Nothobranchius furzeri: one gene and its partners. The protein of the gene in region 2 binds, or shares a complex with, the protein of the main gene of each other region. Links are inferred from orthologs where the notes say so. Each region holds a gene or a part of one and is shown on either strand. Other genes may lie near its edges. The genes, in order: micos13, MICOS complex subunit MIC26 and immt.

What was found.
Region 1: MICOS complex subunit MIC26 (region 2) and micos13 share a complex: the UniProt entries of both Homo sapiens proteins name them as parts of the mitochondrial contact site and cristae organizing system (MICOS) complex. The link is inferred for Nothobranchius furzeri from reciprocal best matches to the Homo sapiens genes APOO and MICOS13.
Region 3: MICOS complex subunit MIC26 (region 2) and immt share a complex: the UniProt entries of both Homo sapiens proteins name them as parts of the mitochondrial contact site and cristae organizing system (MICOS) complex. The link is inferred for Nothobranchius furzeri from reciprocal best matches to the Homo sapiens genes APOO and IMMT.

What each region holds. Positions count from the first base shown.
Region 1 is NC_091748.1:50,418,302-50,421,642, forward strand, and holds micos13 (MICOS complex subunit MIC13), read right to left. Parts: upstream 2,070-3,341; 5' UTR 1,939-2,069; coding exon 1,910-1,938; intron 1,537-1,909; coding exon 1,380-1,536; intron 1,204-1,379; coding exon 1,146-1,203; intron 945-1,145; coding exon 847-944; 3' UTR 527-846; downstream 1-526. Other genes in the region: hsd11b1la (hydroxysteroid 11-beta-dehydrogenase 1-like protein), read left to right, coding at 2,354-2,507. UniProt on the Homo sapiens protein: Component of the MICOS complex, a large protein complex of the mitochondrial inner membrane that plays crucial roles in the maintenance of crista junctions, inner membrane architecture, and formation of contact sites to the outer membrane.
Region 2 is NC_091751.1:40,247,739-40,251,080, forward strand, and holds MICOS complex subunit MIC26, read right to left. Parts: upstream 1,771-3,342; 5' UTR 1,573-1,770; coding exon 958-1,572; 3' UTR 557-957; downstream 1-556. Other genes in the region: eif3f (eukaryotic translation initiation factor 3 subunit F), read left to right, coding at 100-213, 342-419; dnaaf6 (dynein axonemal assembly factor 6), read left to right, coding at 1,967-2,056, 2,173-2,236, 2,319-2,421, 2,620-2,716, 2,811-2,896. UniProt on the Homo sapiens protein: Component of the MICOS complex, a large protein complex of the mitochondrial inner membrane that plays crucial roles in the maintenance of crista junctions, inner membrane architecture, and formation of contact sites to the outer membrane.
Region 3 is NC_091741.1:108,913,542-108,917,193, reverse strand, and holds part of immt (MICOS complex subunit MIC60), read right to left. Parts: intron 2,556-3,652; coding exon 2,469-2,555; intron 1,923-2,468; coding exon 1,779-1,922; intron 1,634-1,778; coding exon 1,500-1,633; intron 1-1,499. UniProt on the Homo sapiens protein: Component of the MICOS complex, a large protein complex of the mitochondrial inner membrane that plays crucial roles in the maintenance of crista junctions, inner membrane architecture, and formation of contact sites to the outer membrane.

The DNA of each region.
Region 1 (3,341 bases), on a different chromosome or scaffold from region 2:
ATTTTCATTTAGAAAAATTTCTCCCTAAAATCTGAGTCTCTTGTGAACAAATCATTAAGACACCTATAATTAAGAACTAAATGTATTTTCACAATCTGATGAGCTAACAAATTTGTAGTAAGTTGTCTTACAAAAAGCTCTTTTTCCAGTTGATGCTAAATGTGTGTTGACCTCACAATCTTTTAATTTATTGCATCTTTGAGAAAACATTTTGTTTATGTTATTTTATCACCTTAACAGTGCCTGAAGGTTTTGAAAATGTTTGATGTGCTAGAAACAATTCTGTACATGCATTCAAAACAAAGGTTAACACTGAGCGTCATTGCTAGTTGTGCTTTTGTCAAAAATACTTCATGCTTCCATTTTCGCTCCTTGTTCCAAAATTGTAGCAGACTGACTGCCCATGTCATAATATTCTGTTGTAATAAACATTTTTGCACATTAGTTTGGTTCTTCACTTTGAACACAGCTATAATCAGCACACTGTAAATTAAGTTTAACTAAATAAACCAAACAAGCCTGAGAATGTTTTCAGAATGATTTTATTGCAAATAGTGAGATTGCACGCATACATACATACACACACACAGCAGAAATTAACTTTTTTTTACATTATTTTGGACAGTTTGACATCTGGGTGGTATCCAACTCTACTGGACAACTGAAATAAACCAAAGTTCTGCTTTATGTACAGTATCCTTCCAACAACTCTCAACAAAACAGCCGAGATCTCTTTTGCAGCTGAATTTAAATAAGCTGTTTTGTTCAGGAAAGGGGACGACTTAAGGATTTACAAGTGCAAAAGTCAAGTGAATAGATAAATGAGGTTACTCAGAAAGTTCTTGTTCATTTGATGAGGTCTTTTGCGTACTGCACTCCCTGACTTGCGTATTCAGATGCTTTAGTTGGAGCCTCTGAGAGGCTTGAAATTGTCCACCGCACCCCTGTGATAGAAGAAATAACTGTTGTTAAAGAATACTTGATTCCAAATGAAATGATCACTGAAACTGGATAATATTCTAAGGTTTTTGTTGGTAAATTCACTTTATTAAAGAAAAAGTCCTGCTGTACCTGAGCCATTGCAATATTGCAATTAACCCTCTGAGGGACTAATAAAGGTATTCTTATTCTTACTAGGTTCTTACCAGAATTCCATGCTTCAACAGGGGAAATTTCAATTTTAGGTATGGCTGGAACCTGAGCCTAGGAACAGAGGAAAGAAGAAAAAAATGATGTACACAATTAAACATAAGGCTTAATTTCACATATGATGCATCGCCCACAAAGTCTTGTGCAGAGGCTGTAGCTGGAATTCAGTTTCTACAGTTTAAACATGTCAAAATGTGTGTGATCGCCTAAAAGTGTAATTTCATCTCTACCTCCAGACCAAAATACTTCATCCATTCCTCGATGGCGGGTGGTATAGCAGCTCTGGCCTTCTCCAGAGCCTCTGAGCCCTGTTCGCTGGTTCCCAGCAGACCCGAGTCACAGGCGACGTAAACAGCGCCTCCTGCAATGGTCACCTTGGTGGCCAGTCTGCAAATGAAAGATCAGCCACACCGTAAGCCAAAACCACCCAGCCACGTAACATTTACCACACTCAAAAGCACCACCTTAAAATTAAAACATTGCTTATTAAGTAATAAAGCAGGGAGATCTTAAATTCTGCGTTGATCAAGCAATATCAGCAACTCAACAAAACATTCATGAAAAATCGCATATGAAGCAATATTTGATTGGATCCTCGGCGACAATTTAGTTAGTAAAGTATCGGAAAATAACAGCTTGAAATCTCAATACAGTAAACGGATAAATGCCGTAGCATGCTAGCTCACAAGCTAATCAAGCATTCAGGTCACTTACCACTAAAACTTAAACGAAACTTAACAGTGAATTAAAATATACGAACTTGAGTAAAGGCAAAATCCTTGCCGCCATGGTCCACAGCTGTGTAACTTCTCTTTATAAGCTGTTTTTACCAAGACTCCAAACAGCGAATCTAACTTCACCGCTAGGCTGCACCATCGACATAGGGCTGCACTGAAGGACATTGCAGCGTTAGCTCTGTTTTTGTCAATAAAGTTGTTTTTTGAAACCCCAACGCTTTTTTCTCAGCGGCAGATTCGTTCTTTTCTATCCCACTTTATTCCTTTTGTAAAATTGTATGTAAGCAAAATGAAAATAAAAATGGTGTGCAGGTTAAATATAAATGTTCTTTTTAAGTTACTATAAGAAATGTTACATATTTAAATATGTTATAATTTGATCTCGGGAGAAGCGCAAAATAGAGAGAGTGAGTGAGTGAGTGAGAGAGAGAGGGGGGATGTTACATAAATGGCACCTCCTTCACATCATGAAAGTGAAGGCAGACTTTTATAACACAGCTAGGAAGTTTTCTGAGACTTATAGCGAGTTTACACACATGGGACCATTTGCAAAAATCCTGATAGGGAGCATTTCTGTAGCTTATTTTGCTGTCAAATGGACTGCGCCAAGTTTTGATCCAGGTAAATTTAAGAATAATTGTAAAAACGTCATTTGGTGTGGATTTTAAAACCAGTAATGTTTGGTGTGGGTTTTTTTTTGGGGGGGGGGGGGGGGGGGCATTTTTTAACCAACTTCAGAGTGCAGTAATGTCTTTTTTAATGCATGTTATGTGTTCACAAGAACTGTAAACATTTTCTACATAGGTAATTAGTTTCTCCTAATGTTAACCTAAAGTGAGGTTACAGAAACTAGGAATATTTAACACAATATAAGGATTAAAATATCTTGTTTGGAACTTTTTTGGACAATTACGGTTTAATTCTGTTTGGACAAGCAAATATGTTCTTGTCTGACCATCTGGAGGGATACATTAAACATCTAAATGTATTTCTCCTATTACCTAACCTATTGTATATCCAAATGAATATATTATTTAGACTACAAAATCTAGTCTTGAACCCTCCCACAGTGCACAGGGTACATTAAGCCCCAGGAAGACTGGTGGATGGGATTCAAATACATCCATACATCAATTTTCAACCGCTTATCCGTGGTCGGATCGCGGGGGAACCAGCCTAAGCCGAGAGGCCCAGACTTCCCTCTTCCCAGCTACTTGGGCCAGCTGCTCCAGGGGAATCCCAAGGTGTTCCTTGGCCAGCCAAGAGACATAGTCCTTCCAATGTGTCCTGGGTATTCCCTTTAGATCTCCTCCCAGTTGGACGTGACTGGAAAATCTCACCAGGGAGGCATCCAGGAGGCATTCTGACCAGATGCCAAGCCACCTCAACTGGCTCCTCTCGATGTGGAGGAGCAGTGGGTCTACTCCAAGCCCCTCCCGGATAACCGAGCTTCTA
Region 2 (3,342 bases):
ACTAATTAATTTAGTGTTTTAAGTCATTGTAGAAAACGTTTAGTTGGTGTTGATTAAAACGCTGATCATGGCTGTAAGATTAAGGTTGGTTTGTCTCAGTCAGGAAAAGTGACAGCAGATAACAGCGTGGGCCGCTTCCTCATGGACCTGGTCAACAAGGTGCCGACCATCTCAGCTGAGGACTTTGAGAACATGCTTAATTCCAACATCAACGTAAGAGATCCTCAACTGTACTGACTTCAGTTAGACCTTGCATTTGCCTTACCTCTATTGTCCCTTTGCATTACTGTAAATATGTTGCTTATTCTGGTGTAATCATGTAAATACTGTCATTGCTGCAGGACCTGCTGATGGTGACCTACCTGTCCAACCTGACCCAAGCACAGATTGCCCTAAACGAGAAGCTGGTGCTGCTCTGAGGACATTTCTGTAGATCATATTTAATTTTTTTTTTTAATTTTGGCCGAGAGAAATAAAGATGTTACCAGTCATTTATTTGTTTTCATTGGCACTGCCTTAGGTGAGTTTGTGACAACAAAACATGCAAAATGGGAACTAGTATTCAAAAGAATGATCATTTATTCATTTAAAACATGTTGCTTGTTTTACAGCTCATGGTTTTGGGATTTCCAAGATGTAGTTTAACTTATCAAAAACAATCATAAGTCAGGTTCCTATTACAGAACCAGAACAGCTTTCGTTTTCTTTGGTCTCTACTCAAACTTCACAAAGCAAACCAGAAAAATGTGTTAAAACCTGATTTTTAATCAAAGCCCCACAGATTCATTTTTTACTTAAATATACAATCAGAGGTTAATTATTCAAGTAGCAGGTCCAGTATGTGACAGGGCATGGCCGGCCTGAGTAACAGCAAAGTGCAGAGAGGGACTCTAACCCTAGCCCTAAAGCCAGTCCTGTCACCACCAGGCTGGTATTGCTGAGCAGCTGAACATAAGCCTACGGGTTGCGTTTAGATTTGTCCCCGTTTGCATCCTTGCTTTGAGGGTTTTTCAGGATCTTCTCTAGCGCAGCGTAGCTCCGCACCGCGCTGTCGTAGACGGAGTCTCCGGTTGACTTTGCGATGGCTGCCGCCTGCTCTGGGTAGTAAAGGGAGGCGCTTACGGCCATGAAACCCGCCGGGTAGAGGAGCTTCTTCACCCTGGAGCCTCTGGCCAGAAACAAGCCGAGCATTCCGGCAAAGCCGATGATTCCCGCCCGAGGATAGAAGTCCTTCGGAGGTTTCTGCAGACAAGCGTAGGCGTCACTCCCGAACTGGACGACCTTCTGAACTTTGGGTTTAATTTTGTCGAAGGTGCCCGAACACCAAGCCGAGTATGGCTCTGCTAGCTTCCTGAAGGTGGCGACACGCTCCTCCAGCTGCCCGGCTTCGGGCTCCGCATACCGACGGTTCTGCTGAGGAGCCGCGTACAGAGACAGTTCGTCCAGGCTCAACGGCGCCGTTGTCTCCTTTTCTCCGCCACCGGCAGCCCCAGCAGCAAAAACGGTGAAAGGTGGCAGTTGAGGCGCTCCCGGCATGGCTCTCTGTCTGTCACCTTGAACAAGGCCATGCATTCACTACGGCAACTGCGGAGGGGCATTACACGTGACGCCTTCTTGAGAAATTTGACGAACCGCGAAACTTTCAAATGTAACATCAGGTATATACATAAAATGAAATTATTCAATTGGGAAAATTATAGCCAACATTAAATAGCATTTTTACGCAGCTGTAGTCACAATAGCAAATACAGGATATAGAAATCCCCATCTCCCCGTTTCTTGAAGTGTCTGGTGGTTGCCAGGGCAACCGGATAGCCTCGTCGCCAGAAACCGTCAACACTGACCTCTCAAACGTCCGTTTAGCCGGTTATAAGCTGAAGTTCTAAACTAAGTTTGTTATATAAGCATTTGCATTTGTAGATGTTGTGGTTTGAGGTGTTTTTTTGAAAGGATTTAAGCTTTCCCAATGGCGTATCTTGGAGGATCATCTGCGCAGGACCTACTGGCTCTGTCTGCACTGTTATCCAAACAGGAGGAGGAAGATGAAAACTATAAAGTAAAAGTTTAAAATTCACAACCGTTTTGTAGTAATTCATACCGACTGTACTAACTGCCTGCATAATTCTTATATTTAGATTTGAGCTAAAATACTAGAAATTATATTTTCACCAGAATGCGGATGCCTGTGCACAGCTTGGCCCTGGACACATCGGACCTCCGCCAAAAACAGATGAAGGTGAGTTGTTTACTTGTAGTTCTCTACATTTATTCTGAATTATAGCAGTACACAAACTATTTCAGCCTGTTTTGCTGTTTAGCTTCAAGTTCCAACATGAAGAACTGCAAAGCAATCTGGAGTGAAGAAGAGGTGGCTGAGGGGGCCCATTATGATGATGTGGTAGATCCACGGCCTCAACCAGAGTAAGACAATAGTAATAGTTGGATAGGGAGGGTGGGTGAAGCATTTTTCTAACACACAATGGCAGAGTGGCTGGGATAAAGCTGGGGTTGAACCTGGTCTACCTCCTGGACCACCGAATTTAAAGAAGGCAGGCCCTTTCTTCATTTGATGGGACATTTTGAGAACAAGAAAGGCAGTTTTGTTATGTCTGTGTGCAGATATGAAATTATCCTGAAGCAGAATGTGGGAACCGAGGACCTGTTCTTAGGATTAAGCAGGAAGAATCCATCGTCCATGTGCTGTGAGGCAATGCAGGTATGTCATCAAACTTCTATTTGACAGAAGAAATCAAAATGCACAAAGGCTATGACATTCAGTTTCTTCATAAATACTTTTCTCCCACATTCAGGTGAAAATCAAACTACCAGACACTAAAGCAACAGATGTCTTTTTAGATCTTAAAGAAACGTTTCTTGATCTGCGAACACCAAAATAGTAAGAGATCATTTGAAAATGTTCACTTTCATTTTCCGGTGACTGAGCAGCTGCAGTTCAGTCTTGAAGCTCCCCTGTCTAGGTATTTGATTAAAGGTGTGAAACACTGAAATTTTTTTAATCTTATTTCTGATTATAACTCTAAGATTTTCATGCAGGCTGAACATAAAAATAGTCTCCTACACCAATCTCCTGCTTTAGCTTCTGATAGAAAACAGTTGAAATGACTAGAAAATCCTGACAGCTCTACGTCACACGGTCACTTATCATTGACGCACTCGCATATCTTGTCTTATGACGGGGAAGGCTGTTGTTGGTTCAACACCCAGGAAACAGCAGAGAACGTCTTGGCTAGTAGAAGCTAACTGTTAGCATGAGCAACTACACCACACAGCAGAAGCTCCTCCAGGCTTTTGTTATCAGATAAAACATCAGCATTGGAGTCA
Region 3 (3,652 bases), on a different chromosome or scaffold from region 2:
CCATAGGTGAGTGTAGGAACGTAGAAAGACCAGTAAATAGAGATAAATTTGCCTTCTGACTCAGCTCTCTCTTCACCATGACAGAGCGGTACAATGCCCACATCACCGCAGATGCAGCACCTACCCACCTATCGATCTCCTGATCCAGTTTGCCCTCATTCGTGAACTTGAGATACTTAAACTCCTCCACTTGGGGCTGGACCTCATCCCCGACCCGGAGAATGGTAAATTGTCTGTATTTGTATAGCACCTACTTAGGTTTCTGCAACCCCCCAAGGCGCTTCACAACACAATCAGTCACACACACATTCACACACTGGTGGGGGTGAGCTACAATGTAGCCACAGCTGCCCTGGGGCGCTCTGACAGAGGCGAGACTGCCGAGCACTAGCGCCACCAACCCCTCCGACCACCACCAGTAGGCAAGGCGGGTTAAGTGTCTTGCCCAAGGAGGACACAACAGCAGCATTCTCTGGTCGGAGCCGGGATTGAACCCGCAACCTTCCCATTACTGGACAACCCGCTGTACTTCCTGAGCTGCTGCTGTCATTCTACCCTTTTCCGATTCAAGACCATGGTCTCGAATTTAGAGGAGCTGATTGTCATCCCAGCTGCTTCACACTCAGTTAAGAACCGCTCAGCAAAAGCTGGAGATCACGTTCTGATGAAGCCAACAGGACCACGTCTGCCAAAAGCAGAAACCCGATCCTCAGGCCACCAAAACGGATCGCCTCAACACCTTGGCTGCACCTAGAAGTCCCATCTATAACAGTTATGAACAGAATCGGTGACAAAAGGCAGCCCTGACAGAGTCCAACTCTCACTGGAAACGAGCCCGACTTACTGCCGGCAAGCTCCGACACCGGTCACACAGACCTAACAGCAAAACTCGTAGATTAGTCGGGCGAGCTCCCACGCACCCTCCTGGACCCCGTAAGGGTGCAGAGCTGGTCCAGAAACAAAGCCGTTTTAAATATTAATAAATTACAACAAACAATAATACTTAAAGTGTATTTTAGAAGAGCGTCTTGCCCTCACGGTGTCTGCTGGAGAAAACTCAGGTTTAGTTGAGGACCCCAGCCTAAACTCACCCATCAGACAGCTCCTCCGAACATCACTCGCCTGGCTGCACATACCGCTCCGTCCTCCGCGGACAGGAAGAGCAACCAGCGGAAGAGCCCGGCGTCACAGATGGAACGTCCTGTTCCGTTTGTAAATCTCACTTCAGGAGTTATCGTACATGTTCTGTTTGGAGTCCACCTCCTGATGATCGACAGCTGCTGCCTCTTCATCATTTCAATAGAAGGAAGACACATTTTTCTTTGCCCTTGGGCACGGTTAACTTTACCATTTTGTCTTTTGTCTTAAAGACAACAGGACACCTCTGCTCTAGCCCGACTTGTCATCCTGCGAGCGCGCGCACACACACATACGTGCGCGCGCACACACACACACACACACACACACCTAGAACCACAGGTATCCTCAGGTTGACCCACCTCTGCCTCCATGGCGTCCTTCAGCTTGCGTGTGTGCTGGGTGACAGCCTGCAGAGCCACCTCCTGAGCTCCAATAGCCTGCAGCGTGGCCTTAGCAGAGGAGGCTAGAGAGTCCTCCAGACGAGATGAAAGGGCTGCAAAAACAACAGCAGGCTCAGAAACCTCTTAAAGCTTCAAGCATAAACCCCCGATGCTGCAGACTACCACGCTTCTAAACCAGGGAAGCTTCATTAATGTGTGTGTGTGCGTGTGTGTGTGTGTGTGTGGTTATCCGCTCACAGGCCAGAAGCTTCTCTTCCTCCTGGTCTTGCTGGACCAGTCTAGCAGTGACCTCATCAACTGGACGTTCCTTTAGAGGCTCTGCTGACGCGACTGCTGCCGTCTCTGAAACATCAGCGTGTTTGTGACACTCCTTACACTCGTCTGTAGGACACACACACACACACACACACACACACACACACACACACGAAGCAGCATCATATGAACCTAGTTCATGTTTTTTAAACAGACACTCACACTGATGGTGGTGATCTACACTGTAGCCACAGCTGTAAGTCGCTTTGGACGAACGTGTCTGCTAAAACCACAAACAATGACCTGGACAGAGCCTGGGTTCAAACCGACAACCCACTGGTTACAGGACAAACTCCTAACCCCTGAGCCACCATCACCTCCATCATGTGACCCAAACGTCTGCATGGCTGAAGCACACCCTGTCTCCATAACCACGGTCTCCTGTGCACAGACGACCTGGACATCACGTGACCACCCGGTGACTCTGAAGGTGGTTTTCTACACTGGGATGGAACCATTTAGAACCTGGTGGAGACCAGATTAGGCTTTATGCCCTGCTAGGTAGAACCCTGGGCCTGGAGGAGGCTGGACTTTATTCAGACACCAGTAGGTCCAACCCAAGGCCTACAGGCCAGCACCAGGTCAGAGCTTCCAGAGGGGAGGAGAACGTACCTGCAGCTGCCTCTGAGTCACACGTAGCAGGAACTGATGGGACCTCACTGATGGCCGAGATGATCTGAGTCGCCTCTGCTGACGCTTCTGCATGAACACACACATTACAGGCACAGCGGGTTGGTGTGTGCGCTTACTGAGTTATGTAAAGACAGACCCACCCAGTCCCTGATGAGACACTAATGGCCCTTACACACTAGCATCAGCTCCACCCCGCCTGGACCGGGTTAGGGCTGTTCTCATTCCTGCACACAACCCCTCTTCCCAAGGCGGTCTGCCTGGAACCGAACAAGGCTGACAAACCCACCGCCGGTTGATTGGCCAGCTCAAAATCACGCGTGCCATTAGGGGGAGCGTCCAATTGGCAGATAGAATCAGACACACACACACACACACACACAGTGCTGGCAGACACAGCAAAGCACGATACAAAATCAGAGTCCGAGAGTCCCAAAAGCAAGACTGCTCCGGCTGCTTCTGTTCAGTAATGGACACCGCGGCTGCAAATGCGCTGGCAACGATCATCTGTATGCAGCAGCAGAGCAGGCCGAGGCAGATCAGAGCGAGGGGGACATATATGTCGCAGGTGCGATGAAAAAAAAAATCTGTGTGCATTAAACTATTTTTACACGTAGCACTCGTGCGACATCTTTTCAAGCTACTCCCCCCCCCCCCCCCCCCCAGAACTTTATTGAACAAAGGTACGTTGCTTGCTATCGTGTAAAGAAGATGCCTTTTACTGGTGCACAACGTGCTAACAGGTGCTGTGGAGGAAAACAGAAACCAGAAAAGACACAAAGGCAGAAACGGTCCAAAATCTAGGATTAAAAGTGGAACTACGGGTAGATTAGCTAACGCTAGCGAGTAGCAGATCAAGTGAGGTTAGCCAGGTGGTTAGATCCTGCTTTTTCCAGTTTCGCCGGCTACCAAAGATGAAATCCATCCTGACTAGACATGACCGGCACACAGTGATCCATACATTTGTGATCTCTGGCTTTGATTATGCAAATTCCCTTCTTTATGGATCTACATCTTCCTCGGTTGCGCGCCTACAGCTGGTGCAGAATGCGGCGGCCCGCCTTTTGACGGACACCAGAAGGAGGGAGCACATTAATCCTGTTCTGGCCCAGCTGCACTGGCTCCCGGTGCGTTACTGCATCCAGTTTAAAATTTTACTTCTTGTT